Linked DNA regions of Yarrowia lipolytica. The protein of the gene in region 2 binds, or shares a complex with, the protein of the main gene of each other region. Links are inferred from orthologs where the notes say so. Each region holds a gene or a part of one and is shown on either strand. Other genes may lie near its edges. The genes, in order: YALI1_E00533g, YALI1_E25859g, YALI1_F31725g and YALI1_C25307g.

What was found.
Region 1: YALI1_E25859g (region 2) and YALI1_E00533g share a complex: the UniProt entries of both Saccharomyces cerevisiae proteins name them as parts of the translation initiation factor 2B (eIF2B) complex. The link is inferred for Yarrowia lipolytica from reciprocal best matches to the Saccharomyces cerevisiae genes GCD1 and GCD2.
Region 3: YALI1_E25859g (region 2) and YALI1_F31725g share a complex: the UniProt entries of both Saccharomyces cerevisiae proteins name them as parts of the translation initiation factor 2B (eIF2B) complex. The link is inferred for Yarrowia lipolytica from reciprocal best matches to the Saccharomyces cerevisiae genes GCD1 and GCD7.
Region 4: YALI1_E25859g (region 2) and YALI1_C25307g share a complex: the UniProt entries of both Saccharomyces cerevisiae proteins name them as parts of the translation initiation factor 2B (eIF2B) complex. The link is inferred for Yarrowia lipolytica from reciprocal best matches to the Saccharomyces cerevisiae genes GCD1 and GCN3.

The regions. Positions count from the first base shown.
Region 1 is NC_090774.1:49,185-57,320, forward strand, and holds YALI1_E00533g (uncharacterized protein), read left to right. Parts: upstream 1-4,126; coding exon 4,127-5,422; downstream 5,423-8,136. Other genes in the region: YALI1_E00510g (uncharacterized protein), read right to left, coding at 1-1,856, 1,988-2,013; YALI1_E00527g (uncharacterized protein), read right to left, coding at 3,365-3,549, 3,835-3,874; YALI1_E00551g (mitochondrial 37S ribosomal protein bS6m), read right to left, coding at 5,988-6,009, 6,385-6,680. UniProt on the Saccharomyces cerevisiae protein: Acts as a component of the translation initiation factor 2B (eIF2B) complex, which catalyzes the exchange of GDP for GTP on the eukaryotic initiation factor 2 (eIF2) complex gamma subunit.
Region 2 is NC_090774.1:2,581,885-2,589,798, reverse strand, and holds YALI1_E25859g (uncharacterized protein), read left to right. Parts: upstream 1-3,844; coding exon 3,845-5,296; downstream 5,297-7,914. Other genes in the region: YALI1_E25889g (uncharacterized protein), read left to right, coding at 890-1,525; YALI1_E25866g (uncharacterized protein), read right to left, coding at 1,795-3,213; YALI1_E25826g (uncharacterized protein), read right to left, coding at 5,588-7,162. UniProt on the Saccharomyces cerevisiae protein: Acts as a component of the translation initiation factor 2B (eIF2B) complex, which catalyzes the exchange of GDP for GTP on the eukaryotic initiation factor 2 (eIF2) complex gamma subunit.
Region 3 is NC_090775.1:3,168,277-3,176,371, forward strand, and holds YALI1_F31725g (uncharacterized protein), read right to left. Parts: upstream 4,422-8,095; coding exon 4,363-4,421; intron 4,248-4,362; coding exon 3,236-4,247; downstream 1-3,235. Other genes in the region: YALI1_F31687g (uncharacterized protein), read right to left, coding at 1-450; YALI1_F31689g (uncharacterized protein), read left to right, coding at 721-2,610; YALI1_F31733g (uncharacterized protein), read left to right, coding at 5,074-5,829; YALI1_F31744g (mitochondrial 54S ribosomal protein bL19m), read left to right, coding at 6,201-6,746; YALI1_F31760g (uncharacterized protein), read left to right, coding at 7,786-8,095. UniProt on the Saccharomyces cerevisiae protein: Acts as a component of the translation initiation factor 2B (eIF2B) complex, which catalyzes the exchange of GDP for GTP on the eukaryotic initiation factor 2 (eIF2) complex gamma subunit.
Region 4 is NC_090772.1:2,527,190-2,533,687, reverse strand, and holds YALI1_C25307g (uncharacterized protein), read right to left. Parts: upstream 2,974-6,498; coding exon 2,050-2,973; downstream 1-2,049. Other genes in the region: YALI1_C25336g (uncharacterized protein), read left to right, coding at 36-1,862; YALI1_C25301g (uncharacterized protein), read left to right, coding at 3,473-3,525, 3,579-4,311; YALI1_C25288g (uncharacterized protein), read left to right, coding at 4,862-6,498. UniProt on the Saccharomyces cerevisiae protein: Acts as a component of the translation initiation factor 2B (eIF2B) complex, which catalyzes the exchange of GDP for GTP on the eukaryotic initiation factor 2 (eIF2) complex gamma subunit.

The DNA.
Region 1 (8,136 bases), about 2.5 Mb from region 2:
TAGGAGCAGCAGGGGCATTCTCAGCAGCAATGTTGGCAGCCACATCCAGAATGTTCTTGAGGAAATCATTCTTGGTGGCCATGAGAACCTCGAGGTGCTCATCAGGCACAGCGTCACGGTTCTTCTCCACAAAGCCTTCGGCCTCATAGTTGACGTCCTGGGCGTAGTGGGCAACCACAAACGACGTGTTGCCGAACCGCGGCTTCTTGAAATGCTTGTTCTGCGGATTATCTAGCTGCTGGTACAGCTTGGTGCACCAGCCATCGTCGCTACCGGCGGGGAGACGCGACTCCTCGTCAAGCAGAGAGAGGATACCCAGCTTTGCCTCGATCAGGTCGATACAAGGCTGGTTGTCGGAAAAGTCAATGAAGGTCCAGTTGATTTCCTCCTGCACGTACTCGTCCTGCTCGAGCTTGAACACGTGCTGGTTGAATTCCTGTTGCAGCTTTTCGTTGGCGTAGTTGATGCAGAACTGTTCAAACGAGTTCTTCTTGAAGTGCTCGAAACCAAAAATATCCAGTACACCAATGAAGGTCTCGACCTGTTCCTGCACTTTGGGGTCGCACAGGCCGCCATTGAGCTCGCTGACCAGCCAGTCGAACAGTGACGTGTAAATGTGCTTGGACACGGAGTCACGCACCACCAACGACTGCTTGTGAGTCTGGTTGGACACGATCTTGTCGGCTCGCGTCACAATCTGTTTCTTGGTGATCCATTTGGCAAACTGGACAGGGTCAATCTGCAGCAGCTCACAAGCCTTGATAAGAGAGGGCTCGTCGGATGACAGAACCGCGTCCTGACGGGTCTGGCCAATTTCAATGTTACCAATGTGCAGAATACCAGCCAGAATGTTCCACAGGCTCTCTTGCTCGGGTTTGGCGATGCCAATAGTCTCGAGAGACGCACCGGTCAGCTTGAATTCCTCGCTGTCGTCCACGCCTTCAATGGTATCATTACCTCCTTGGTTGAGGTATCGAAAGGCCGGAACACCTCCCTCGACACCTAGAGCCTTGGCAAGCTCGGGAGAGGCACCCTTGACCAGCTGGTAAAAGATGTGGTAGTTTCGCTCTGTGGCAGGCTGGAACACGAGACGAGATCGCTCCAGCAAGAAGGTTCGGATTCGAGCACCCACAATGTCCACGTCCTTGTTGAAGTTGATCTCCAGATATTTGCCGAACCGCGACGAGTTGTCGTTTCGGGTGGTCTTGGCGTTACCAAAGGCCTCCATGATGGGGTTGGTGGCGAGAATCTGCTCCTCGACGTGGGACAGTGAGTCACCTTGTGACACGTCGCGTTTTCGTGGTGCTAGCGGATCCTCCACTGTGGCAAAGTACCGCATAATGTACTTTGCAGACACGGTCTTTCCTGCTCCGGACTCTCCTGACACCACAATGGTCTGGTCCTTCTTGTCTCGCAGCATGCATCGGTAGGCGTCCTCGGCAATGGCGAACAGATGGGGCTCAAGCTCACCACGGGTCTTGCCGGCGTAGGCCTGGATAATGTCGGGGGTGTAGAGGTTGTCGACCCGCTGAAAAGGGTTGGTGGCAATAAGCACGATTCCCGAGTAGGTGTAAATGTTGAGCATCTGGTATCGGGTTCGGATCGCGTGCAGCACACTGGGCTCATTGAGATAGGACAGGGAAGTCAAGTCTTCGGTGGACTCCAGAATGGGGGGGTTTCGCAGGGGGAGCTGAGGGACCTCGGCTGACGACTTGAGCACAGATACGGAGGTCTCTACCGACTTTTCCTCGCCGTTCTCCAGTGTCAGGTTGATGGTCACCTTCTCACCATCCGTCTTCTGGTCGACCACCTCGGCACCCACCCATCCTTCTTTTTCGTCTCGGATCCAGCAGCGGCTGTGTTAGCAGTTGTGTAATTAGGGGTTTATCACGAGATTTTGACAGTCGTATGAAACGCCGAAAAAACGCGAAACCAGCTTTTTCGGCGTGGTATTGCCGGTTCATCCTCCCCTTCTCGTCATACTCACATTCCGGGCTCGTAACTGATGGCCATGAGCGCGTCGATCCGTGTGGATAGTGGTGTGGTGGTGTGGTGGTGTGGTGTTTGTGTGTTGAATTAATAAGCCTATTGCACGACGTGTGGACGGGGGAAAACACGTGTGGGCTTGTGTCGTAGGAAGAAGCGCAAAGGAATTTGAACCAAGTGTGGTCGGTAGCGTAGTTGCAAAATGTTACTCAAGATAGATAACACCCGATACTAAACACCCTTCTCCTGTTTGATGTGTTGGAAGGAAAGTCAAACTCTGTGTGCTAGTGCTAACCTGCAAGTAACCGTGCTCAGCGAAACACAAGACAGCAGCAGCAGCAGCAGCAGCAGCTGTCCAGGTGGCACCTAAGCGGGAGCTAATGGCGCCAAATCTAGCATGTTCATTCTAACTCCCCAATTCTGATAGGTGTTTGTTTCATGGAGCGACGCGGTAGGTCCGTTGTGGCAATCTTCAAAGAAATATCTCCAGTAAATAGCCGACTATTGACAATAAAAAAAAAAAATCAGTCACTACTCTGTGCAAACATACAATACAACTCAACTATGTCCGTGTAATTGTTTCTCGCTGGCACGTGTCATTATTATTATTTCCAGTACTTGTCCTCGTGGGCCCCCGTGATTCACCTCCCCCGTATGTACTCGTACCGGTACTACGTGTCCAAAATAATGCGCCCCTGCACACATTCCGAAAGAAGGGGTTGAAACACCTGTGACCGGTAAACGAAGCGAAATTGAAGTGAGAAATGAGTAAATAAAGGCCGCGCTGAAACGGGCGAAATTGAGGGAAATTAATGGGCCCAAAAGACTAGAACAATAGGGCCGACAAGTTGACAGCATACTACTTGTTTAATCGATAACACTCCCTCCTACCGCGTTCACAGCACCTGACGGGACCCCTGAGACTCCCGAAAAACACGCATTCTTGAGCTGCAGTACGCACCGTTAAAATGCGTATGGCTTAAGCTAAAAACAGGGGGCTCAGGGGCTCAACATGTGACATGGTGCCTCTGGTCGATCGCCGAAAACAGAGAAAAACACAGAGCCGTTCTGAGACGGCATGAACAATCATCTGAGACCGTACTGTTATTATTTTAGCCTGTCACCAAGGGCTGGCATGTGAAAAGCTAAACTGTTGCCGGGGTGACACCTTCTACACAACGCGACAGTCTCTAGCATTAGCCTTTTTAGGTCACGTGCCAAATAAACGAAAGAGGACACAAAGGTTAGGGGTCACCTTGGGACTGTTAATTAGTGCTTATTAATCGAAAGAATGAGGTGCTTATTAAGCATGGCCCACTACAGACAAATATGAAATGTCAATTCATGCATAAATTATCGTTGTTATCTAAAACCGTGTCTACTCCGTTCGCTGTTCGCTGAGAGCAGTCTTCTTCTTCTCCAGAACCTCCAAGGAGTGCTGATGAACGTTGTGAAGCACGAGTCCGAGGCCAGCCCAGGCCACACCGGAGAAAACGTATCCGAGAGGGTAGTAGCCGGCAGGCTTGAGTCGGATCTTGTTGGAAAGGAACTTGGTAGCGAATCCTGAGTTAGTATGTGATGTGTGCGAAGATATCTGATAGCATGATTGGTATCTGGTGTGCAGTCCATATCAGAACCGAATTGAAGACGATCTGAGATCACCGCTTGATTCATCATAAGCAATGCAGTTGATCCGTGCCAACAACCACTCCAATTCCAGTCAAGATTGGTCAAACATGTCTAGAACCCTTTGTGTCACTTGCAAGTCGATGGTTAAGACACAAAAACATGTCGTCGAAGCAGCGGAAATTGTCGGTGGACAATCTCGTCGCGCATTGCGATACTCACCAAGACCGGATGCACCGACTAGCGAAGTAAACAGAGCCATTTTTGCGGTATTGGTGTGTGCTCCAGAGATGACTTTGGTGATGCAATATGATTTTGGAGGTTGCAATTTGCGGTGCTGTGATTCGTTGGGAAAGCCGGGTAACTTTAAAATGATCTTGGTAGTTGTCAGTTCGAGTTGTGGTTGCAACATATTTAAACCCCCGAATGAAATCTGGAACCCTAATATATGCAAAAAAATCTAGTCTGATGACTATAACTGGAGATATCATCAAACCACCACAGCTCTCACGCCATGTCAGAACTTACACCCGCTCAGCTTAAGGCACAGAAGAAGGCCGCCAAGGCCGCCAAGCGTGCGGCTTCCAAGGAGGCATCGGGCCAGGCTCCTACTCGAGATCCACGAGAGGCCAAGAAGGAACAGCAACAGGCCGCAGCCAAGGAGGGAGGCTCATCTTCAAACACCGGAAACAACAGCAATAACACACAAGGCGGAAGCAATCAATCGTCCGCCTCTGCATCGTCCAAGGAGGATCGAACCCGGGCTTCCAGACCCGCTTTGTTTGGGCACCTTGAGAAGGCAGGAAAGGTGACTGCAGCGGATGCTGGCAAGGACGTGCATCCCGAGGTGATCACCTTGGCACTCCGGTACTCGTCGTATCAGATTGTGGGCTCTTCTGACCGAGCCCGAACTCTTCTGCAGGCCTTCCAGCGGGTTATTGCTGACTACGAGACTCCCGAGGGAACTACACTGTCTCGAAACCTCACTACACATCTTGGTCACCAGATTGATTTTGTCATTTCTGCACGACCGTTGTCTGTGTCCATGGGTAATGCCATTCGGTGGCTCAAGCAGGAAATTTCTGTGGTGAGCATTGACATGTCCGATCAGGCTGCCAAAGACATGCTGGTGGAGAAGATTGACGAGTACATCAAGGAGAAGATCGATGTGAGTGGATCCGTCATCGTGGAGAGCGCCGTCAACGACATTGCCGACGGTGACACCGTCCTCACTTTTGCACATTCCGAGGTGGTGGAGAACACCTTCATTGCTGCTCACCAGGCCGGTAAGCGGTTCAAGATCATTGTGGTCGACTCCCGACCTCTGCATGAGGGCCGAAAGCTGGCTCGAGATCTGTCTGCCCGGGGCATTGAGTGCATCTACATTCTGGTTTCGGCACTGGCTCATGTTCTGGACGACGTTTCTCGAGTCTTTCTGGGAGCCCATGCCATGCTTTCTAACGGCGCTCTGCTTTCGCGTGTCGGCTCTGCCCTCATCGCCACTGCTGCCAAGCGAAAGAACATCCCCGTGATCGTCCTATGCGAGTCCATGAAGTTCTCTGACCGAGTCCAGCTCGATTCTGTCACTCTCAACGAGCTGGCCTTCCCCGAAATGCTGGCAAACACCTACATCAGTGACAAGAAGAAGCTTCCTGAAGACAAGGCCAAGACCTCGCTCAAGTACCTCAATCTGTGCTACGATCTGACTCCTGCCGCAAATCTCACCAAGATTATCACCGAGCTGGGTCATCTGCCTCCCTCGGCCGTTCCCGTCATCATGCGAGAATACAAGTCCGCTTACACTATGTAGGGGAGGAGGTTAAGAGAGGTATTTGTAAGATAGAGGAACGACAAGGGGGGACTAAAATATAGACAATAAACAGTACGTTAATGGGGTTCGTGTGATATTGATGTATGTACAGTACATACTAAAGGTAGCATATGCAGTTTTTGCCAATGAGTCGTCGTGTCATGACGACACTCGCATAGACCTTTAGACGATTAACGACTTGTAATCCGTGTACAGGTATGTACGGCACCAGTATATATCTACGATATTGCAGCCGTGAGAGATTTATTTGACTTCATATCTGAACAGTTGTAGTTACTGACAGTGTTACTCCCTCGTACCAGTGCCGGTATGTAGTCTTATGAGTATGCACACACACCCGTGTTCGAGACCATGTATTAGCTAAAACAGTGTCTCGGATACACGAGATAAGAACAGTTGTATCACACACAAGACGGGCAAGAGTCGTCTTTACTCCTTAACTAATGCCCTTGTTCTGAAGTTTGAACATACTGTCCACCTACAGGCACGCCTTAGGCAAGAAAATCACTTACACTGTGTCGAATATGTACATTAAATAGAGATGCTAGATGAGGGTTTTGCTGGATCTGTGTTAGTATGTTGAAGATGTGTAGAAATATAGTTGTTTGAATGCAACGAGGAACTGCCTCAAGTCGTATATAAATGTCTGGTCGCTTCTAATAGCTCGAGGTGCTATTTCAGGTAACAGAGGAGGAATTCCGACGGCTTGGCGAAGACTAGAATCCAACATGTCCGTGTCTAGACTTGGGTTGCTTATTCAAGACGCCACTCAAGATTAGAGAATGATTGTCAAAAGAGCATCTTAAATAGAAAAGGATAGAATGAGCAAAGACTTCATTTTTTGTCCAAACGGGCACTTCTGCTCACAAAATAGCTCTCGCCTGTCCCAGTTAGCTCTCCAGCTTCGTTACTCTGTTCAAGAGCAACCATATCATACTCACTTCTCATTCAGCTTGACGCAAAAGGTTCGAATCAAACGGGGGTCAGCCTGGACAGCTCGCATGATTTCGCCCTGGGCTCCGGGAGAACAGTCGAACTTCATGTAGAAGTAGTCGCCGACCACGTAGCTCTTCTGCTGGGCCTTCATGATCTGGGGCAGGGGCTTGAATCGCCAGCACTCAATGAGGCGGACCACGCCTCTGTTGCCGATGATCATTCGGCCGATCTGGGTGACGGCCTGCTTGGCGGCCGCGTGTGCCGGAGTCACCGATGCGATTCCAACGAGTTCGTAGAGCATTTCGAGTCTGTTGTGTAGAGGGGTAGTTGGGATGCGATGACGTCGTGTGAGAGATGAAGGTTGAAAATGTTACTGGATGCTGCAACCTTATTTTGGCACTCTGAACATGGTCGGTCTGTCAGTACAATACGTGAGTAATTAAGAGCACTTTAATATCGAGCCGAAATAGGTAGGTCGGATATATGAACAATAAAGGAAATTTACCTGAGGGGTCTGGTTGCTCTCAAAGTGGATAAAATATATGACTGCGTTCATGTAAGCCAGATGCTGCTAACATTCATCTCTAATTACTGCTCAGGTAAAAGTCACGTGCATTTTTTGCGTTCGGAGCATGTACCAGTATCAAGTATGTACTGTACATACCTGGAAATGACCTGTGGGTGCAACATCTCGGACAAGTACCATACCGGCAGGTATTGTAGCTTGCTCTGAGAGAGTCGCTGTATGTAATATCACTGACTACAGTATTACGGGCAGATGGCGTTTTAACCTGTTTTAACCTGTTTTAACCTGTTTTAACCTACAGTAGGAAGAGCATTGATGGCCTGTCACATTTCTCGAGACCACAGTCCTGGTTAATGATGATTATTTGATGGGGTCTATTGATAAATGGTATCTTGCAAGAGCTATGAGTGCTTCTGGGATTGTTTCCATTTTTGTGCAGCTAACAGACATTAGTTAAATGATATTGATGATGTCCTGGCTTTCAAATTTTACCCAAGTAATCAGCCAACTAAGACACTTACCTAAGTGCCTGGAAAACGGTGATATCTCGAGATACTGTAATAGTACAAGTATTAGGAACGGCGCTGGAGAAAGAAAGAAAAAGTCTACCTCTCCTGTATATCATTTGAGAAGATATGGATTCTCGATCAACCGACACACGTCTGTACTTGTAGAATATCTGTCAACTATTTCTCAGCCACTCGACTACTCGTGTGTACATACTGTAGATGCCTGTTTGTAGCCAAATTTCGTACTGTCCCCTATTCAGACGGTCGCCTGAAAGCTGCTTCCATAGTATCCTCTGATGAAGCACCGAGCCTGCAAGTTGTGCACATAAGTACGCATCAGACCCATGTGCGGCTGAATCATTGGTTGTGTGGGGTGAATTGGACCGTGGTTCCAGTCTAGGGATGGCCCTTCAGGAGCAATGACAGATCACAGAAGGGGCCCAAGTATTCGATTTCTCGAAGCTCAAGTCGGCTTCTATCATGTCACCCGCGTCAACTGTACTCAGTGTTATCGTGTTCTCAGCACTGAGTCTGACAGGCAGCTGAGTACGCAGTTGCAACTACTGCACATTATCGTATCTCGTTAAGGCGGCTGTCTCAATAGTCCAAGGTTTAGTTGCCGGCCTAGAACAGCTCGAGTTTGTGAGCAACTGTGTGGTGTATATAGAGTCTAGGGTGGTCGGGAATTGTTCTCGTCTATATTGATTCTCATTCTTGTGATT
Region 2 (7,914 bases):
GGAGCCGCTTTCCCACCTGCTTCAGACTGCAAAACTACTGGCAACTAACTCACGTGCTTATTTACCAGTTCTAGTAAGCAACATGCTTATTTACCTGCGCTGTCAAAAAGAGCATACTGTGACAGATTGTGGAGACTTCCAGAAGTTGAAACGAAAAGGGAAATTGAAGCATGCCCTTGTAGATCCCAATGAGAAGTGTACTCGTCCTTGCACTTGTCGTCACGTGGTCAGTTAGGTGAGATCGAGGGATGGGGTCAATATACAACTGTCACGTGACCAGTATGATAGGTCCTTTGTGTGGTACAAATACACATTGTATCATCAATTAAAGCCCTTTTTTTTTTTTTTTTTTTTTTTTTTCACTCATGGCTCTTCCAGACTCCTACGGAAGACTGTTACTGTAGCCGCACTTGACTGAAAAGTGGGCTACTTGTAGGTGGAGCAATGTTGTCTGATGAGATGGTGGTTCAGTAACGGCAAATGTCGTGGAGTAGACAGGCGTTTAGTTCTGGGGATGGGAGGCCCGCCATGTTATTCGATTTTTCTCTTCTTTCTTTTTGTTTGGTTCTTAAATGGTAGAGGTAGAGCCAAGTATTAGGTCAAGTAAACGATCAAGTAAGATCCTAGCTTTTGTAAGCATTTTACCTGCTAGAAAGATCCTGCTAATTCCACTACCAGGGGGAAGCAATGGTAAGTAAAACTAAGTAATGAGATCACAATGCCATACTTTGTCGATCCATCTCAAAAACTGTCTCGAAATACTCGCATTGCGTCGTTTTGATTGTTCTTCGCCATCGTCTTTTTCTACCTCCTGCTCCTGCTCCCAATGCGTTGGAGTGTATAAAAGTACGTCTCACACAGTCTGATACATACGGCATCACTCTCAAACATGTCATGGAAATACGCACTAGGTCAGTACATAAAGAGTCCTGAAAAATTCCCCAACGATGTGACTCTCGACACACCAGACTTTGTCGTGATCAAAGATGCGTTCCCGAAATCACATATCCATTACCTGGTGTTACCCAAGGCTGTCAAGCCCGATACCCATCCTCTAAAGGCGTTTGAAGACGACAACCTGTACGAAAAAACTCGTGCCATGGTGGAAAAAGTTGAGAAAATGGTTGCTGTCGAGTTCATTCGTACAAAGGGATACTCCAAGGACGTGAAGATCCAGTCAGGCATCCACTCGGTGCCCAGCATGAATCATGTCCATGTCCATGTTATGACGACAGATCTGTCTTCTCCCCGGCTCAAGAACCGCACACACTTCAACTCGTTCAGGACTGGCTTTTTTGTGCCATTCAGAACGATCCCGGATCTGAAAGTCCCAAGTCTTGACGCCTGGATGGTCTCACAGGAGAAACTCATCAAGGGGGACATTGTGGTGGATGGAGAGAACTTTGGGAACAAGTTTGCAAAGGCCAAGAGAAGACTGGATGAGGATTTCCACAAAGCCACGATTCACGGTATTCCAGAGGAGGTGGAGGATGATGATTATAGGGTGATGGAGATGATCTCTTAAGAGACAAGTGGCCATAGATAACGAAGGACATTCATATGGAAATTGATGACATTATAACGAAAGCATGCTCATGATACAAGTAGCAACCAGGTCGTTTTCTCTCAGTACGATCTCGATGGAGTGTAATAGTTGACAACGTAGCTGAACATGGCAACATCGTGATAAACTCATTATCAGTATACATCATATGCCACAGCTGAAACATAATAGTGCTTTGGCACTACAGGCAAACTACACTCTCACTTGCGATTAAATGCTTAACTAGTCTACTACAACTTCTCGTACTCGAGCTTACCCTCCAGCTTCTTGTTCTCGGACACCTTTCTGCAGGCCTTGAGCAGATCGTTCTGAACAATGTAGTCCCGATCGTCTCGGATGGCAAAGAAGCCAGCCTCGGTGACCACGTTTCGGATATCTGCTCCGTTGAAACCGTCGCTCATCTTGACCAGGGCCTCGTAATCGATTTCGCCCTGCTTCTGAACGCCAGCAGCGTGGATCTTAAACACCTCCAGACGGCCGGCCTCGTTGGGCAGTGGGATCTCGATCTTTCGGTCCAGACGGCCTGCTCGCAGCAGGGCGGGGTCCAGAGTATCGGGCCGGTTGGTGGCCATGATGACCTTGGTCTTTCCGAGATAGTCGAAACCATCCATCTGGTTCAGCAGCTCCATGAGCGTTCGCTGGATTTCTCGGTCGGAGGAGGTTCCCTCGGAAAATCGACGTCCTCCAATGGCGTCCACCTCGTCCATGAAGATGATACAGGGCTCGTGTTCCTTGGCGTATCCGAACATTTCTCGAATCAGACGGGCAGACTCTCCAATGTACTTGTCGACGATAGCTGAGGCGGGCGAGAAGATGAAGTTTGCGCCAATAGTGGCGGCCACGGCCTTGGCCAGCAGGGTCTTTCCTGTTCCGGGAGGGCCGTACAGAAGCACACCCTTGGGAGGCTTGATTCCGACTCGCAAAAACAGCTCGGGGTTCTTCAGAGGCAGCTCAATGACCTCTCTGAGTTCACGGATCTGCTCGTTGAGGCCACCGATACCGGAGAAGGTCAGCTCTCCAGGCTCAAACGTGGTCATGTTGTAGACAAGAGGATCGACCTCTCGGGGAAGAATTCGCATGATAGTCAGAGTGGTCATATCCAGAGACACACGCACACCCTGCAGCAGCTTCTCCTTCTTGATGCTGGACCGACAGCCCACAATGTATCGGGGGCCGTTGGAGGCTTTGACGATGAACCGCTCCTCATCCAGCTGCTTAAGAACCTCGCCAATCAGCTGGCCTACCGACTGTAGCGCCTTGATGTCGTCCTCGGTCTTGTCGAATTTGCGCTCGAGGTCTCTGATGCCCAGTCGCAAGTCCTTGAGCTTGACCTCGTACTCTCGATGCTCCTTGAGTTTTCTCTTGAACGACTCGATCGCCTTTTCCCGCTCGGGATCTGTGGGTGTGGCAGCCACCTCGGGCGCCTCCTGGTTGAGAGCTGCGAGCAGCGGGTCGTTTTCCATGTTGTGTGTGTTGTGGTGTGTTGTACTGATGTAGTAACTGGAGCGTTGAGGTTCTAATATGTGAAGTGGTGATGCACCTCCCAATATTAGTGTTTGGTAGAAGAGTGGCGTATGGTGGCGAGGTGAGTGAAGGTGAGAGTACAGTAATGACAAATATAGACAGAATATCGGGGAATAAATGATCATCAATCGCTTTTATATTCCTCACTTATTGCTCTCAATATCCCCATTACTCCACAACTACTCTAAAACCTCGTATTCTGACACCTTCCACAGGATTACGTGAGGTAACAGAGTCTGGATGGGTATGGGTGGACCCATTCGCTCTTGGTGGTTATGCAACCACAGATCTAGTAGAGGTACCCGTAGTTGATGTGCTGTAATATAGACACAATGACAAATCCATAAATAAAGTGAGAAACCCCATTGAGGAGAAAGAGGTGTACATCTAATTATTGATTACATAAGCGTATAAGTAACTTAACCAAATTGTCACATTACTTCACCCAACAGTTGAACTATCTTTCATTTTACTTCAGAATGACTTTGAATATAGGTCTATCCAACTCTACCAATATAGATCCCACATATAATCTGAAAAGTGCATTCTTCTTGTAATTTCTCAGACAATCTGCTTCCATCATTATCTTATCGATAGGATATCTCCACATCTTGTTACAGACACCGCCATCCCCGTCAAATAAACTCCGATGCAAGCTCCATGTGCAGTGAAATTTATTAGCATTGAAAAGAAGCACATAAAAGATCACATAAAGCACACACCACCACCACTCTGTGCTAAATCTCCTCTGCTACAATGGGAGCCGACTTCAAAGTGTTCATTCTGTGCGGCCAGGGCAAAAACATGGCACCTCTCTCGTCCGTGAGAGCGTCTGGAGTGCCCAAGGCCCTTCTTCCCATGGCCAACGTGCCTGTGATCGACTACACCCTCAAATGGTGTGAGACCATCCCCAACCCCAAGGTGTTTGTGTGCTGTTCTACAGCTGACGAGGCGGAGATTTCCGCCTACGTGGACTCTTTCAAGGCTGAGCACTCCACCTCAGTTGTGGCTTCCAACGTGACTATCTGTTCCAAGACCGATGCGAAGTCTGGAGACTTCATTCTGGAGCTGACTCGAGGGGAACCCTCTGATTTCATTGTGGTTTGCTGCGATTTTATCACAGACATTCCCGCCAGCTCGCTGGTCGACACCTACCGAAGCCGAGACTCGGACTCGCTTCTCACAGCCTTCTACTACCCCAATACCCTGGAGAACGTGGACAAGAAGTCATTGCTCAAGGACGTGACGGTGCACTCATCGCTGGACTCGCGAACCCCGCGGCTGCTGGACTCGTATTCGCGTGACTACATTGAGAACAAGAAGACCATGCCCATCCGCCGATCCATGCTGTGGCACTTCCCTAAGTCTTTGGTCTCCACACAGCTGCTCAATGCGTCCGTCTACTTCTGCACTGCCGACGTGTGTAGAGTCATCACCGAGACTCAGGCTGCCCCTGAGGAGGATTCCACAGACGAAGATCCCGACACCCGATCTTCGTCGCCTGTCAGACAAGAACAGGAGGAGGCACACACCATTCTGGCCAAAGGCCGACAGTGGGACCGAGTGGTTCGAGACATTGCCCGACGGTCGTGGGCACATGCGAAGCCGCTCAAGTCTGTGTCTCTGTGCGTTCTGGACTCCAATACCTTTGCACGAGCAAACAACCTGTCTGCATACATGGAAATGAACCGAGTGATTCTGAAGGCAAGAGCCAAGGCCAACGCCACTGCCCAGAAGCCCGCTCCAGCTGTTAAGGGAGCTGCCACTGTTGGTGTCGACTCTCTGGTCGGCGAAGAGACCCAGCTGGGCGAGCGAACCAGTATAAAGCGATCTGTGGTTGGAAACAACTGCACCATCGGCAAACGATGTCGAATCAACGGCTGTGTCATCTTTGACGGCGCTTTCATTGCCGATGACGTTACTCTGGAGAACTGTCTGGTCGGAACTAAGACCACAGTCGGTACCAAGGCCAAACTCACAGGCTGCAATGTTGAAGGAGGATACAAGGTGGAGGCTGGCAAGGTGGCCAAGAACGAAACCATGCTACAGCTGTCCTTGGAGGGTTTGATGGAGTCCGACGAATACACTGACGACCATGACGAAGATGACGATGATGACGATGACAGCGAAATGGGCGACTCGGACGATTGGTCCGTCAGCGGAGGAGACGACTACGATGATGATGATGGGCTCTTCGATCGGTCTTAGAAGGACAAGTATAGCTAATGTATGTTGGATAGAGTATGGAGTAATTACAGACTTGATCTAGAATCACAGAACATTTTCACGTTCTGAAATGTTCCGCACTCGTATGTGATGTTCAAGTATAGTTGTATCTTGTACAATTATCTACAGTCACCGAATCCGCCACAAGTAATATACATAATTGTCATCATTCATTATTCATTACTGTTCTGATACATACAGTATCATGCCATAGGGTCGCTAGCACTTTCTATGAGTACAAATATTCCTTCGTGGTGCTGCTCTAAACTGAGATTAAACAAATGCTTCATCTCCTAGCCTCTTCCTCAGAATTTCAATCTCTTTATCGAGATCCTTCACAGACATCTCTAAAGGCCCCAGTTCGTCGTACTTTCGCCTCTGCTTGGCCTCCAGCATCATGTTCTCCACCATAAACCTCTGTTCCTCCATGACCACCAGCTGTTGCTGAAGTGCCTTGTAGTTGGCAGGAGGACGGGGTTTAGCTGGCTCGGGGGCTGTAGCTTCACTACCCAGCACCTTGGGAAGCGTTTTCAAGGGCAGCATCTTCTCTTGTAGAAATGACACCGCAGCTGTGTATATCTGTTGCTGTATTCGCTCTTCTGTAGGAGACAGTCCCTCCAGTGCTCCTACTCTTCTAGCAGCCGAATCTAGCTGCGAAAAGGTATCGAGAAGACGCTTACGCAGCTTGGACGCTGCCAAAATGTCCTTGGGATGCATACCGGCCATCTTTTTGGACGCAATCGTCTCCTCAAGCTCCTTTTGGAACCGAGGCATCATGTTTTCGATGGAAGTGGTCAGATGGGTCATGGTGTTGTACAGCTTAAGCAGCTCGCTGGGATCGGAGTTGACATCCCGCTGAAAGTTACGTCTACCAAAGACTGTATTCTTGCAAGTCATGCAGATCCGTATGGGTTCGCAATCTGTTGGAATGGTGTCGCTGAACTCCTCTTTCATATCGAGACTGTTGATTAAAATGTTCACACCAACAGGAAGAGAACATTGTGTGGATGTCTGTCCACACACCACCTTTCCGCACACCCTGCAATGATGAGGGCGGATCAGAAAGGTGAATTTGACCTGGCATTCCGGACAATTGGGCTGTGTTGAGTCTTCCTGCCATGGTACTGAGGCTGTGACAGCCGCCTTGGGTTTCCACCAGGGTCCCGAGCTCTCGTTCTCTATGCTTTCCTCCGCAAGTCGTCTCAGTCTGTTTTCCAGCTTATTGACGGACAGCTCCTGGATGTCGATTTTCGCCTGGCGTTTTTTCTTGAACTCTTGCGTCAGATCTCTTTCAGTACCTGTCGTGTCATTGTACCCTTCTCTGCCCGTGTAGCAAGTCTTGCACACCCAACACCAGATACCGCCCTTTGGTTGGTGGTGAGCATCTCGGCTCAACTTCATTCTGTAGCGACTGTGGCCGTGGCAGAAGATGTTTCCACAATGTCGGCAGTGCCTTGAGCCGTTCCTGGCTCCCAGCTTGCGTTTGCAGTCCGGATAGTGGCATGTTTGGCCCGGTCCGGGGTGCTTCCAGTGCCGTCTGGTCACCATTTCGTCGGTGGGTCGCGGTTTCGTGTGTGGTTTCTCGCTGGACGCCCGTGTCTTGCCCTTTACCTTGCCATCACCGTGTACGTCGTCAATGTGCCGATTCAGTTGCATCAGCGTCAACATTGTCTCCTCGCAAATCGGACATGTCAGCGAAGTGGCTGAGTGTGATTCGGGGCCTGGGGACGCCGTGGAGACGACCGGCGGGGTCGGCGGGGGTGGCGGAGTGGGAGCGGCGCTTGTTTGCACCACCTTGGGCTCCTTCACCGGCTCCACCTTGGTTCCGATCACTCGTTTTTTGCGCATGCTGAAATAGAGTGTACTTGTGGGTGGTGCGTGATAAGCTGAGTAATATGGCGGGGTTGCATGTGAGGGTCGGCAGGTTAGGGAGTTGTTGAAAAGGTAGGGCAGGTTTTGAGGTTTAGTGATTACGTGGAGTGCGGATATGTGTTTTGATTTTGTATATCTAGTCTACTGGTGGAGTTGTGACCGATGCTGTGGTGTAGACGGCTAACAAACTTGGGTAAGCATTGCACCTAATTTAGTTGAAAGAAAGTCAAGGATAGCGTTTATTTACTGTAGCAACAAGGTGAAACTGGAGTTGCGGAAAGATAGGGCTTCCGAAGAAAAGAAAGAAGGGATTTGATATGGAGAAGTCTTTAATCACCTTTCATTTGACAGATCTACACCTGCACAGTGGTACAAGTATACTGTACGGATACCCCAACGATGACTCTCTACATCCCCCCCCCATCTCAGTCGATTCCAGTAGTACACTCGTATGTACTGCACACCAAAACAGTAAATATTGTTGCCTCTAACTCTGACAGTACTACAAGTACCGTACGGTACTTAACACTGGTACTGTATACAGTAAATGTACTCAACCTCGTCCAGTAGCACTTGTATGTCGTTAGTTGGTGGGTCGTTATCCCCTCAAGATCGAATTCAAACGCTCTGGGGTGATTTAAACCCGATTTAAACCGTCTCGGCCTGATCTGAAACATGCGATGGGATGCAGTTCGGGCATAAGTGGTTGTGTGTGACCACTCTGAAGA
Region 3 (8,095 bases), on a different chromosome or scaffold from region 2:
GTCCACGGAAAGTCTCCAGGGACGAGGACCTTGTCGAGTAGTCATTGTGGGCGCAGGAGAGGGCTGGTCGGGACGCTCGAGCTTCTGAAGTCGTTCCTGCTCCTCCTCCTCATCGAGCTCATCCTCGATATCTCGCAGACTCTTGTAGGGCTGGTCTCGGCCGATGTCGTTCAGAGCCACCACCTGCTTGTTGAGCTTGCCACACTTGATGAGCTTCTCGTCCAGCTTGAACTTCACCACAAACAGACCTCGATAGATCATGGCAAAAAACACAATGAAAATACACGTTCCCGCGTACTGGCCTCGGTTGGAGGGAGTCCATTGATCTGAAAACAGAGCGTCCACCATGTTGGAGTGGAAAGTCATGGCCATGCTGTGGGACATTCCTCCGGACGACGAGCCGCCCATGTCCATGCCGCCCATATCCATGCTTCCGTGGTCGTGGCTCATTTTTGTGTGTGAGAAATGGTGTTGGAGTTGAATAAAAAAGAGATGGAAATACTGGAATTATGAGCTGCTGATGTCTCTTTTTTGAGTTTGATATTTGCTCGTTTCAGCTGGAAAATCTGAGTCTATGTGCGAATAGATTTATACTATTACTAGCTAGCGGAACACTATGCATCTTTGAGCAAACTGTAAAGAGTGTGTGGTATCGGAGTCCTTACGACCAGCTCCAGGAGGTTCCTATTCTCAGCAAACTCCCTCGAAGTCACTCACAACATGGTCTACGACATTCTGGCCACCGCCAAAAACCAGGGACAGGGCTCATACAACTCGGACGGATCTCCAAGACCAGGGTTTCTGGGAAGAGTTTACTGGATGGTCATTGGTGCCATTTTGGCAGTAATTACCATTTTCCGCGTGCTTTCGTTACTGCGACAAAAGTACTACTTGAAACGACAAAAGCCACCCAGATCAGACTCTGTTCCAGCCAAGATCATTGGAGCTATCGTATCTACAGCTCGTGAGGCCTCTCTATTACAGATCCCAGGGTTTGATATTCCTTGGGTCAATTACACGGTGGAGTTCCCGCCAGTAGGAGACATTCTCATCATTCTCTTTTACGTGATGATTGTAATGCTGCTGCTCTTCTCCAAAATCGACCCTTTCAACCCTATGAACTACGAAACTGTGGCCTACCGATGCGGCTGGGTGTCTATTTCCCAGATCTCACTTATCGTCATTCTGGCAGCCAGAAGAAACCTCGTGTCCATTCTCACGGGCATTTCTGCTCAGAGGCTTAACCTGTACCATCGATGGACGGCCCGAGTGTTGTTCCTGTGCGTCATTCTGCACCTGGCCCACTTTATCAAGACCTGGGGAGTCACTCACCAGATTCAGAACCAGGTGTCGACAAATACGTTTGCCCTGAAAGGCTTTGGAGCGTTTGGAATTCTCTGCTGGATCTTCATTTCCTCTTTTGCGCCCTTCCGAAACATGAGCTACGAGTTCTTTGTGTTCCAACACATTGTTACTATGATTGGATTCATGGTAGCAGTCGTTATCCACGCGCCCAATTACGCATACCATGTCGTAATCCCTCCTCTGGCTCTTTTTGGACTTGACAGAGTGCTCAGACTGGTCTGGAACCTGTTCATCAATAAGGCAGGGCTCAAACCTCATCAGACAGCCCTGAGAGTCGAGCCTGGAGCTGTGGTGGCCACAATTCCCACAGGACTCTCATGGTACCCTGGACAGCACATGTATCTCCGTTTCCCTAACGTATCTCCTTTAGAACAGCATCCTTTCACAATTTCCACACTGCCCGGAGACGATATGCAGTTTGTGATTCGTTCAAAGGCGGGATTCACTAAGCGGCTGCTCAAAAAGGCCTCTCAGCTCCCAGAACACGAGAAAATGACCCTTCCAGTCTACCTGGACGGTCCCTACGGCGAAACTCGTGATTTCAAGCAGTTTGACACCTCTGTTTTTGTCTGTGCCGGTATCGGAGCTTCTTTCTGCCTCCCTATCGCCGTGGACATTATTAGAAACCAGCACAAGACCATTGCTCGACGTCTCAAGTTCATCTGGATCACAAAGCGGTTCCAGGACATGGAACTGTATGCCGCCCAGCTGACTGAGCTGCTTGAATGCGCACGAACGTTCTACGATACAGCCTCTGGAATCGATGTTGTTGTCGAGATCTTCGCGACTTGTGAAGATGACTGCTGTGGGGCTGTCACTAACTGCTCTAGTTGTTGTTGTGACGAGGTGGCTGTTTCTCGGGGCGAATGTTGCTGTGCAGCTGGTATCGAGCCCCAGCCGAAAAACGAACTTACACAAGCCCAGACTGCACTTGCTCAATCATCAACGCTTTCTCCGGTATACTACGACTTCGTTGAGGCCGGGTACCTGCGTCTCAAGCAGGGACGACCCCAGCCTTATCAGTATAACCGACGAAAGAAGCTTGGATCTGACAAGTCCTTCTACCGGCTCATTTCGCCGGTCATTTCTATGGCTCAGGGTGAGTCTGGAGTGTGCATTTGTGGCCCTAGACGGTTTACGAGAATTGTTTCCAACACTGTTGTTGACATCACCGACGACAGGGCAGTTCTGAGAGGTACAGGTAACCAGGCCGTGTACACACACGTGGAGCATTTTGGGTTGTAGGAAGAGGGAAAGGATGATGAATGTATATATATATATATATATATATAATTTAACACTGCATTTGTATGGAAAGTAGCTATACTTAGCTTACAAAGAGACATATGCGCTCAAGCGCCTACATCCTGTGGTTCCTGTAACTGCGCTACAGTAGAACAACAAATTCGACAAGACCTGCATTCATAAAAAGTCATAAGCTGACTACAAGTAGATACTTGTACATGATTAGGGATTATACCAAGGAACTCCTACTCACTGTTTGTATGTAAGTTCAAATCAGTACAAGTACTCATATTCTTCATAGTAACAATCTCTAAGCAGTTTATTACACACTATCAAGGTACAGTATGTACAGTAGGTATGGCGGCATACGTCTTCGTTTTATTATTTTTGCACACGAACCTCTGAAGCGCACTGTACATTGTACATACTGTTCAGGGTAAGTCCCTTCCCATTCCAATCAATGTAACATCCCCTAATGTAAAACTTGTAGACTGCGCCAAAACCACTGGTTCTCATTCCTTCTCTCAGTCTAGTGAGGTGTCGTATCACACCAATCTGCAGTTTTAATTAGCACCATTTTATTCGCTATTCAACCGTCTATCTACACCAGTCCACCTCACTCCATTCACAAGTTACCCGCATCACTGTAGTGATCCAGCACAATTCTATATATAAAGGCAGGGCTGAACTCGCCAATGTTTGTGTTGTAGATCTGGATGTCCTCCGGGGGCACGTAATCGGCAAGAGGGTTGAACACTTGAAAGCCCTCCACAATCTCCGAGTCGGAGTAGTCGGCCACCTGTGCCGAAGAGCCAATCTCAATCATGCTGGGCACATCGAAGGGGTACACGGGGGACAGCTTGTAGATGGCTGTAAGTACCACCACGGGGGTGGAATGCTGTGTTGCTGTGGCGCAAACGAGAGCAGATCCAGCTGATGAAAGACATCCTCCATTGGCCAGCACGGTAGAAGTGCCCATGATGACTCGTCCGACCTTAGACATGACGGCGTAGACGGCAGCATCGGGGATGATGATGGCCTCGACTCCGGCCTTTGTCAGTTTCTCCACCATGTTGTGTGCTGCATCAATCTGGTTGGGGAAGCCCTCGGTGACCAGAACGGTGAAGTTTCGCTTACGTGCGGCCTTGAGCAGAAACAGCAGCACGGTTTCGGATGCAGGGGTCGGGGTCAGAATGATCTGGTTGTCGTGGATCTCGTCGACAGACATTTTGGCAATGTTCTCCTCGATGTTGGCGACCTCGTCAATCAGATCCTGAATACCCTCGATGATGTAGGGCCGGATATCTCGGTTCGCCTGTCGCAAAGCAGCCTTGTCCAGCACCTCCTCCTTCTTGTCGTTCTTCTCCAAAAGACCCAGCATGCTGCCGCTAAGCCCGCCGTTTTCGGCCTTGTGGCCGTGCTGCTCCTCCCGAATCAGTGTCAGCACTCGCGATACGATATTTCGACACGCAATCTCCTTGGGGGCGGTCTGCACCAGACGCACTCCCAGGGCACGAATGTCCTTGACTAGAGAGTCAATGTGATTCCATCTTGCGGCAGAAACAAACCGCAGAAGCAGTTGTGCCGTGGCCAGAGCAACTGCGTGTGATCCCGACAACTGTCGACGTTTCAGTTGGCTATGTTAGTTTCGGCTTGGTGAGGATGTCGTGATCCATGTCACGAGGTCTCGCAACAGCCCCGAGTTTAGGCATCGAGCCCTCTTTTTCCAGCAAGAAGCCCTCAAACACTCACCTGATGAACTGCTCAACGAAAATATCAATTTCTCGGTCGCCTCGGTTCTGACTGGACATTTTTTGGTGATGGAACTGATGCTGGAGTTTTCTCAAACTTTGCATATTGGACCTAAATTTTGATGAGAGTCACGTGTCATGCACGGTACAGTAGTGATAATCTATGGAGTCAAGAAAGTGCAATAAATGAGGAATCTGTTGTATAGAAAATTCTCGGACACAAATGATCGAACGAAAACATTGGATCGATTAGGATATCTGTGCTGTTATACTACCCTTGGCGTTTTGAATAGCGTGCGTGTTGTTTCACACACAGAGATATCTGTACATACGGCGGTTCTATGGAAGCCAGGAGCACTTCCAAAAGTGGAGAACATTTTGTACAATCTATCATGTATGCTTCGATGTCATACAGTACCATCCCCAGGAACCCTACTCCTTCGCTGCTGGCATCTGCTTGTCAATAAATAATCTCTTTATAAATAATTGTTAACGGGTAGAGGCCCAGAGAGTCTTTATCGGCTCATATAGACTCGGTGTCGGACTCAGACTCACTTTCGGATTCGCTGAAGTCCATACCAAAGAAATCTCCACCCTTGGCCTTCACATTCGAGCTGGAAGATCCTGCAGAAGATGACAAGGCAGTATCAATTTCGGATACAGCCAGAGCAGCCATCTCCGCGTCCTTTCGCATCTTCTGAACGGCATCTTCATGGTCTTCCAGCAGTCGTGTGTTTTCAAACTTGCTCTTTCGACTGGACCCACTGGTCTTTTCCTTCTGCAGAATGTTGAGCAGCTTCTGTTTCTTCTCTTCGGCCTCCTTCTTCTTGATCTCGTCGGCTGTGCTGAGGTACTCTCCAAGCTCCTTGGCCTGCCGGATACTCTTCATTCGGCGGCCGTCCAGCGTTCGAAAAGAGTCGTTCTCCGTCTCCGTCTTCTTTCTATTCTTCTTTCGGGCCATACGTCCTCCCTGGGCTCGCAGCATGGACCCGAAACCACCCTTTCCACCGCAAAGACGCATATTCCAGCGCAAGTAGATGTCACCAGCTGCAGCAGACAGGCTCTCAAGACTCTGGCCTCCTCTGGTGCTGAGATATCCCTTGGCTGTGGCGTTAGGGGGCAGTTCTTTGAGAGCGCTTTCGATAGCGACGTGGACATCATCATCAGCCAAAACGTGTTTCTGGATATCTCTCAGACCACTGGGGGTGGAGATGAATATAGTGGGCATGTCGGTGGTGGTGGCGAGGCGAGGGTTTTGTGTACCGTGGTGTTGTGCTCTGGATGGATGTTGGTGATACAAATTATATTATGGTTCAGATTATGGTGCATGGTACGAGTGAGGAAAAACTCGACCAAGCACTACATTACTTGTATGTATGTACCGATCCAGAATAAGCACTTTGGACTGGATGAGACTGAATTAGAGCGGTTGGTAACTGGTTGTGAGAAAATAATATGGGTAGAATAACAGCACCAAGACGCCATCTTCACAAAAACATTCTCGGTATCAATTTGTTTGTCACGATCTTCTCTTCTGTACCGTCTTGAGAGCCCTAAACTGTAGAAAAACAAGAAAACATTACAAAACGATTCAACAAAGGCAAACTCATTGTAGAAAGACGAAAATTACTACAGTATTCGAGCCATATGGTAGAGGAACACCACGGACGCATCGGCTCATTCATTCTTATAGCCCCTCTCCCTTTGTTTTCTCATCGTCTCGGACTCATCTTCCCAGCATTACAAACCGCAAACCCTAACCGCGACTGAAAATTTAACCAAAATAGGCCCTAGAGCACACCAACAGTCAGTATACAGCATCACCACACTTGCACAAAAATGCTGGCTCGACTGATCCGTCCATCGCTGGCAGCGGTGCGTCTGCCCGTGATGCAGATGGCCACATTCAAGACCATCAAGCGAGAGCCAAAGACCGTCAACATCTACGAGCGACACCCCCGACGTCTGGGTACCGAGAACGCTCTTACACACGTCACTGACAAGCTGATGAAGCAGTTTGATCCCCAGGGCGTCAAGATGGAGCTGATGAACCCCAAATCCGCTGACCGAATCAAGCCCGGAGACATTGTGCAGATCAAGACCACTGATGGCTCTCTGTTCACGGGCCTCACCATGGTGGTGGACTTCCGAGGACTGTCCTCTAACCTGCTGCTGCGATCTAAGATCACCAAGATCGGAATCGACCGACGATTCAAGATCTTCTCTCCAACCGTCGAGTCTGTCAAGATTATCCGACGGGCCACCCAGAAGTACACCGCCGAGCGTCTGTACTACATCCGAGGCCACAAGCGTCTGGATGTTGGCGATCTCGAGGCCTCCGTCAAGAAGGCAGCCGCCAAGCGAAAGAAGTTCCTCTTCAAGTAAATGTATATAGTGAATGGAAGGATATGGAAGGAGAGCTGAGAGTAGGAATGATGGAGGGCTGGATCACTACATGTGCTTGTATGTGACATGCCAACATGGGCAGCTTGCGAGCAGCTGTGTCACAACTCCAGTGTTCCAATATTCGAGCATGGTCACATTCAGTTCCTTACAGTGTCAGGCGGCTTCTGAATCAATGCCAAATACACAAGTGCGGCCATGTGAGATCATTTGTTCCCCTTTGCTCTAAATTACAGTAGCTTATACAGTGGAACATCTCATCTCTCGAGGTTTATCTCCTTTTTCCAATAAACAGTATCAACTAAACTGTCCCATTAGTTAAGACTCAACATGAACACTATCTATCCACCAATATTGTTTTAAATTTGCTTAAAAGCTGATACATCTGACAATATCACCAAATGAAACAATAAACACTCCTCCGATCCTCCCTCGGTCCCTCAATTCTCCGCCTTCAACACTGGCCATATCGTTAACGACTCAAGTCTGAAAGTTACTTTGCCCCGAGTAAAAGCTCGTATGACAAAACCTAGCAACATCGAAGTTCCAGCCTCTCATTGGATGGTTGGTGGTGTGACATCTATTTACACAATATAGAGACTCAATGACGGCCACAACAATACTACCAGATTGACAAACACCAACTTGCACCTTCAAACCCAAACCGTCAATCAGGCAACTTCTAGAGATGCTCATTTCAAGCACTTCCAGAGTGGAAAACTTGCTTGCAACCATGTGAAGTTATTGCATGAAAACGAAGGGATGTTCAAAGGAGTGGAAAGTGGCGAAAAAATAATTTTTGAAGGAGTAGAATGAGGAATTGGTGCCGAATTGAACGCCCCCCAGCGATTGGTATTCACATCATTCGCTCCGCTATCATACCCCTACAATACCTTTGTCTTAATTCCGCTATTGCCCATTAAAGTTACAAGTAGGGTAAGGGGGTTCTGCAAAAGTTTTAAGTGGTTGTCCCAAAATCAAGCTGTGCTTCCTTCTCTGATTACACACCCCACAACGCGAAATGTTCTTCAAAACGCTTGCTAGTGTGCGACCCGCCGCCCAGCGAGTGGCCACCTCCGTTGCCAGCAACAAGGTCCTCTTTGCCCGAGGTTACGCTGCCTTTGACCGATCCAAGCCCCACGTGAACATTGGAACCATTGGCCACGTTGACCACGGAAAGACCACTCTGACCGCCGCTATCACCAAGGTGCTTGCCGAGAAGGGCGGCGCCAAGTTCCTGGACTACAATTCTATCGACCGAGCTCCCGAGGAGCGAGCTCGAGGTATCACCATTTCTACCTCCCACGTTGAGTACGAGACTGCTAACCGAC
Region 4 (6,498 bases), on a different chromosome or scaffold from region 2:
TACCTCTGCAGCAAACCACCAACTCATCCAGCATCATGTTGCCACGAGCCCTGAGTCGCCACGTGGCCAGACAGCCAAGGGTCTCGAGCTCCACTGCTGCACGACTGCGAATCAGCAACCATGGCCGAATCCGATCCTTCCACAGCTCCAGGGTATCCAGTATGCTGCAGATCCCCGAGATTGGAGGCGACGGCGAGGAGAACAAACAGTCGCGAAGCGGCTGGGAACGCACCAAGGAGATCCTCACGAAAATGGCCGAATCCGCAGGTATCACGTTCGCCAGTATCGCCATTCTGGGCATCGCCGGAATGACGTACCACTACTACTATAAGCGCCATGTGGTCAAGAAGATGGACGAGGCGTTCGAGGACGGAGACCCGGCGTTCGAATTGACCATGCATCGACGAACAAGCGAGATGGAGGGCTGGGTGGAGAGAAGTCATCAGAAGCTGCTGGATGACATCATTGCCGGACGAATCAGCGGACGATACTACCTACTGATTGGAGAAAAGGGAACCGGAAAGACCAGCATGATTCTGGAGGCCATGCGAAAGTGCTCTGGCTCGTGCTGTACCATTCTTGATGCCCATGCTGACCCAGAAATCTTTCGAATCCGACTAGGTAAGGCTCTGGATTTCGAATTCCACGAAGACTACATTGGATCTCTGTTTTCCATCCGGGGGCCCCGTGATACCACCGCGCTGCTGGACATTGAGCGAGCCTTTAACAAACTCGAGGAGGTTGCTGTGGGCAAGGTCCGAAAGACTGGCCGACCTCTGGTTATGGTGATCAACAATGCCCATCTGATTCGAGACGATGCTGACGGAAACAATTTGGTCGAGCTGCTCCAGCAGAAGGCCGAGGCTCTTTCTGGAGCTGGTCTGGTGACTATGATTTTCAACTCGGATGACTACTGGCTGTACGAACGACTCAAGAAGCTGGGAACTCGCCTGGAGGTTGTCACTATCAAGGATTTGGATCGAGCTCAGTCCGTTCAGGCTTTCCAGCTTGCTCGACTGAGAGCTCGAGGTATCTCTTGCGACGTGGAGACAGCCAACCGGGTGTACGATCTTGTTGGGGGTAGACCCCAACATCTGGCTCATGTCGCAGGACACAGGAACATTCTCAAGGCTTGCCAGGAGCTGATTGACCGAGAAAAGACTTGGTTTCTCAACCAGTGTGGTCTGCTTGGAGAAGATATGGATGACGATGTCATGGAAAGTGGTAAGTTTAGCACCTCCGCCATGTTTCTGATGCGAGAACTGGTGGAGATGGATAGACGACGGCTCAAGGACGTGTCTATCTACAACACCTTGCATCTGAGCGACCACAAACTGCCCGAGTTGCCTCTATGGAGAGCCAGACAGGTCATGACCCGTCCCGACTACATTCAAGTCTACGACAACCTGAACATTTTCACCATTGACTCCTTGTCACGAGTACGAGCCGACTCTGTTCCCATGATGCAGGCCTTTCACGAAATTGCAGACATGCCTGGGTTTGATGATTTTCTCGAAGAGACTGCCGACCGAGTATCTGCTATCGAGTCTCTTGGTCGAACCCGAGAGCTGGTGGCTAAGGATCTAGTTGAAGGCGGCAAATACACCGTCAAGGACGCTTTCCGAACGTTTGCCATCAAGCTGGTGCAGCCCGAGGAGGAGGAGGACAAGGCCGAGAGCTCTCTCGACCATCTGGGCAAGTCCGACTGGTGGAATCAGCGAGTGAAGAAGTTCACCGAGCAGATTGAGGAGGAGGAAGTGGCTCTCAAGGAAAAGGAAGCCAAGGCTGTTGGAATCCCTAAACATGTCGAAGATGTCGCGAAAATCCCTGGTGACGTTGAAGAAGTCGCAGACTATAAGTAGAAGTCGACTAGAATTGGCTAGTCCGTCCGTTGTGAGGGCACTTGTAAAAGTACAATTGTGTACGAATAAATTATACATGATTATCTTGTTGTAATCATTCCCCTGACCGCACCTCCATTATCCAATGAACCATTGCATACCTTTCCATTATCTATATACTCCACGCACTGTGCCACTCCCGTCAGTCTTACTCATACCACATTTTAATCAGCTCCTCAGAAACGCCACTTGGAGTGAGAACTCCCAGATCTGTGATAAGTGCAGTGATGTAATCGTGAGGCGTAAAGTCGACGACTGGCGACAGACCCTTGTCGGCATTCTGCTCCTCGGGCTCCTCAACAGTGAAGTGGAACATCTTTTTGGTGTCTGGCAGATCGGCCTGGGCCAGAGGGAAGATTCGCACAAACTTGTGACTCTCGGTGACCACGTAGAAGGGCTTATTTGCGTTCTTGGCTAGCACGGCAATCTGATATGATCCGACGTGGTTGATGACTCCTCCAGACTCCGCCACTCCCTCGGCACCACAAAACACCTTGGACACCTCGTCAATCACAGATCCGACGGCGTTGTCCACAATTAGACTCACGGGAATGCCTCTCTCCCTCAATGCCTTGGCCATTCGCTTACCCTGATCACTAGGAGCAGCCTCTGTGACAAACACTCTGAAACGCACCAAGTTCTTAGCAGCATGTTCCAGAAGGGCCAGTACCGTTCGCGAGAAAGAGTGGACCAGAATGACATCGTCATCCCGCACAAATGCTAGACCCTTTTCCGAAATGGTCTTTCGAGCAGCCTTACTTCGCTCGGCAAACAGCCTTCCGTTCTTTACCAAATGGCCCTTGCAGGCCTCCCAGTCGCCATATTCCCGGATATTTCGCAACACAAATCGCATAAACAGATCACAGCCTGCAGAAAGCGACATAGAGTTGTCCACAGACGTCTTGAGCTCCGCGCTCGCCTCCTTGAGAGTCTGAATCAGCTCGGCTGATGTGCTGGTTTCGGTCTCACTGAGCAGCTGGACCAGGGCCTCAATGGCCGCGACAGGCATGGTGATGTCGGGGTCGTCCCGCAGAAAGCGCAGATATGTCTCTTTGATGTCGAATTTGGCCATGCTGGATTACTTGTAGTGGTCGATTTGCTCTATGCTGCAATTTTTGGTTAGGTTGGGATTAATATTTTCAGAATCCTGAATCACGTGACGATATGAGATTGGCCCAGTTACCCGGCAGTTCGAACGTCGACGAATGTACTGATACGCTGAGTTAGAGAGGGGTTGGAAGGGCTTGTGGTGGTTGAGGGGTATATTAAGGTCACATGACTGTATGTTAAGCAAGTGCTCATGTTTTTTCCGGTCCCCATCCCCTGTCTGATGCCCTTGTGTGGTGTACTTGAGCAGTTGGGAGTTACTTAGCATGTTCAACTAAAGGCTAAGTACTGCATGTCCTGCTGTCGAATAAACTTCGTGCAGCTTACTCATCAGCCATCTGAACAAATACACGAGCTAATTTTTTCACAATCACCAAAATGCTGGCTCGACTGGTAAACGGACTACGGGGTGAGTAACGCTAGAAATGGGGAAGGAAGAGACTTGGAAGGCATTCAGCGAAGCCATGCAATCAGCAGATCGATTCTCAGCGACAATACGACCGTGCCAAACGACACGGTGAGAGTGAAAAATTTCGGATCGGAAGTTCACGAATGACTGCACAACTTAAGGAACCTAGGGAATAAGGAATCCCTGTCATTCCAACAGGTCTATCCGAGTCGACCACCCTCAATACCGTGCTCCTCTGACGGCCGTACTAACTCAGCTACCCGCCCTACTGTCGTGTCTCCTTTTGCTGTTCCCACTCTGGGCTCCATTCGACACAAGCACGAGTATGCACCTCGATTCAAGAACCTACGAAAGGCCCAGCGAGGCCGAATCACTGTCCGAACCGGAGGATCCACTCGAGGCTCCACGGTCGAGTTTGGCCAGTGGGGCCTGCGTCTTGTTTCTGAGGGTGTGCGGCTGTTTGACAAGCAGCTCAAGGCCGCTGACGGAGCCATTGCTCAGCTGATTCGAAAGGCCGCTCCCGGCTCTCAGCTCTACCGACGGTTTCTGCTCTCCACCCCCGTCACTCGAAAGGGTGTCAATATCCGAATGGGTAAGGGTAAGGGAGATATCGAGAACATGGCCACCCGATGGCCCACTGGAAAGGTGGTATTTGAGGTTGGAGGCCAGATGCACGACCAGGTTGTCAAGGAGGCCTTCAAGCGAGCTTCCAGGCGTCTGCCGGGCCGATGGGAGGTGATCAAGAAGGGCGATCTGCCTGTTGTTGGCTCCCAGGAGGTCCCCGAGGCCACCCCCCGAAACTACCTGCAGGAGATGTCCGAGAACCCCACCAAGCGGTTCCAGGCCCTGGAGGACTCCAAGAAGGAGGAGTTTGTCAAGTACCGACGACGATAAATGTATATAGTAACATATTTGATATTGAGAGTGTGAAATGTAGATGTGTGTAGAAGACTTGTATCAACAAACGCGCCAGTACAGTGACGAAACCTTGGTTCCAGTGAAGAGTTACGAATCGGAAGGGTGAGCAATCTCTGTTGTTTGCTAGACGTTGTAAAGTGCAAACCAAGGTGTTACTATGGGGTATATCGATATCTCAGTATATACCGGCACATACTGTACAATACTGTACTTGTGATGCCATTGCAAGCTGGATCATAGGTCGTATGACTCCTTTTTTACGACGTTGGACCTGTGTACTCGTGCGCTATATTCTCGGTACTGGATCCAAATTAGAGACCAAAGAGGTTGTTTGAGAGACATTATCTGCCAACTGAAACACGGTTTCTTCACAAACACGTACTATTCACCAGGATATATATTCTATTTCGTACTCAGCATCCTCACACTACCCAGCCAAGGTTTATGCGAGATATGCAATAACGTTCGAAAATTACGGACCTGAAAAAAACACAGGAACGCGACTTTTTTCCACCAGCAACCCACAATGACACGATCAAGGCGTCCTCGGCCCTCCTACGTGATGGAGGGCGACGACTTTGCGGGTGACGACTCGGACTCGGACTTCAACCCCGGCATTGAACCGACCGTGGAAGATGACGACATGGACGTGGATGTGAACGAGGTCAAGGCTGAGGAGGAAGATGGCAACTACGGTGACGAGATGGAGGTGGACTACGTGCCCAGCAAGTCCAGCAAATCCAAGACCAAGGCCGTCAAGCCGACTCTCAAAAACACGCCGCGAAAAATGCCTGTGAAAAAGATTCCGACGACAAAGGCGGCGGCTGCCAACAAGGAGAATGGAGAGGACCGAAAGGTGGCTCTCAAAGACCGGTTCAACCTGTTCTACGGCTTTGATGAGGCTTCGCGGGTCAAGGGTAATGCTATCCGTCAAACCTGGGGTAACGTGACCTACGCGTGGGGCAAGAATATCATGACGCCCAATGTGACGTTCGAGACGCCTCCTGACCTCAAAGTCAACGTGGCTGAGCAGTTTGGAACTGCCGAAAAGGGCGATGATCTCACCACCCTTGGTCCTTCAATGTCTCTTTTGAATAGCACCGGTGAAGAGACCACTCTGGCCCCCAAGACTAGCTCTTCCTGGAAAGCCAGTGGAGGCGATCAGGATGCACCTAACCCAGCTTCGGTAATTAACGCTGGAGCTCCTGTTTCGTCTGTCGCCTGGGCCTACGGACACACCGTGGCCCAGTACCTGGCGGTCTCCACTCTCAACAGTTCTCTGTCAGACTCCACCACCGGTCTGCCAGAATCCACAGACCCGACGTTCAAGGCCTTTGCCTGCAATACTGGACCTGGAACGATTCAAATATGGAAGTTTAGCCCACAGCCATCACTGAACCAGGTATTCACGTTTGATTTCGGCTTCGCTTCGGAAATGGCCTTCCAACCCAGAAACCAGGATGATGCTCGAGACAGTGTAGGACTACTGGCCTCTGTTTTCCAAGACGGCTCTGTGCGTGTTTTTGAAGTGCCCTACAACAATAACGACGAACCCGTGCACATGACTCTCAAGGCTCCCTACAGAACATTTATGTTGGCCAGCTCAAAAGCCACCTGCTTGTGTTGGAGAGGACCCACAGTCATTGTGGTCGGATACACAGACGGAAAGATTGCCGAGTTCGATATCTCAGACACAGACGATGAAACCGCACTGATACCGTCGTACTTTCTGCCCATCCACTCCACCTACGTAGCCTCCATTGCCTGTGGCTACCCCGTCGACTCACATTTGGTGTTTTCCTCGTCGCCAGACGGTTTCTGTAAACTCACAGACGTCTCTGATGCTCGTCACACTCGGGCTATCAACCTACGAGTCATTGACTACACACCTGCGGTGGCGTACCAGAGCCATGTGTCTTCGTTCACGTGTTTGGAGGATTCCGAGACTGTTCGAGTCTTGCCCACTCGACAGCTGAACCTGTACAAGTCTCTGACTTCTGTCACACGACACCAGACGCACGCTATGAGTGTGGGTACCTCCATCAACCATCCGTTTGTCATTTCTGGAGGCTCGGACGGAACTGTGGCTATGGGTAACTGTGTCAGAAGAGTCATGGTGGGCGCTCGATACACGCACTCGTACGCCTTTACCATTCTGTGGCG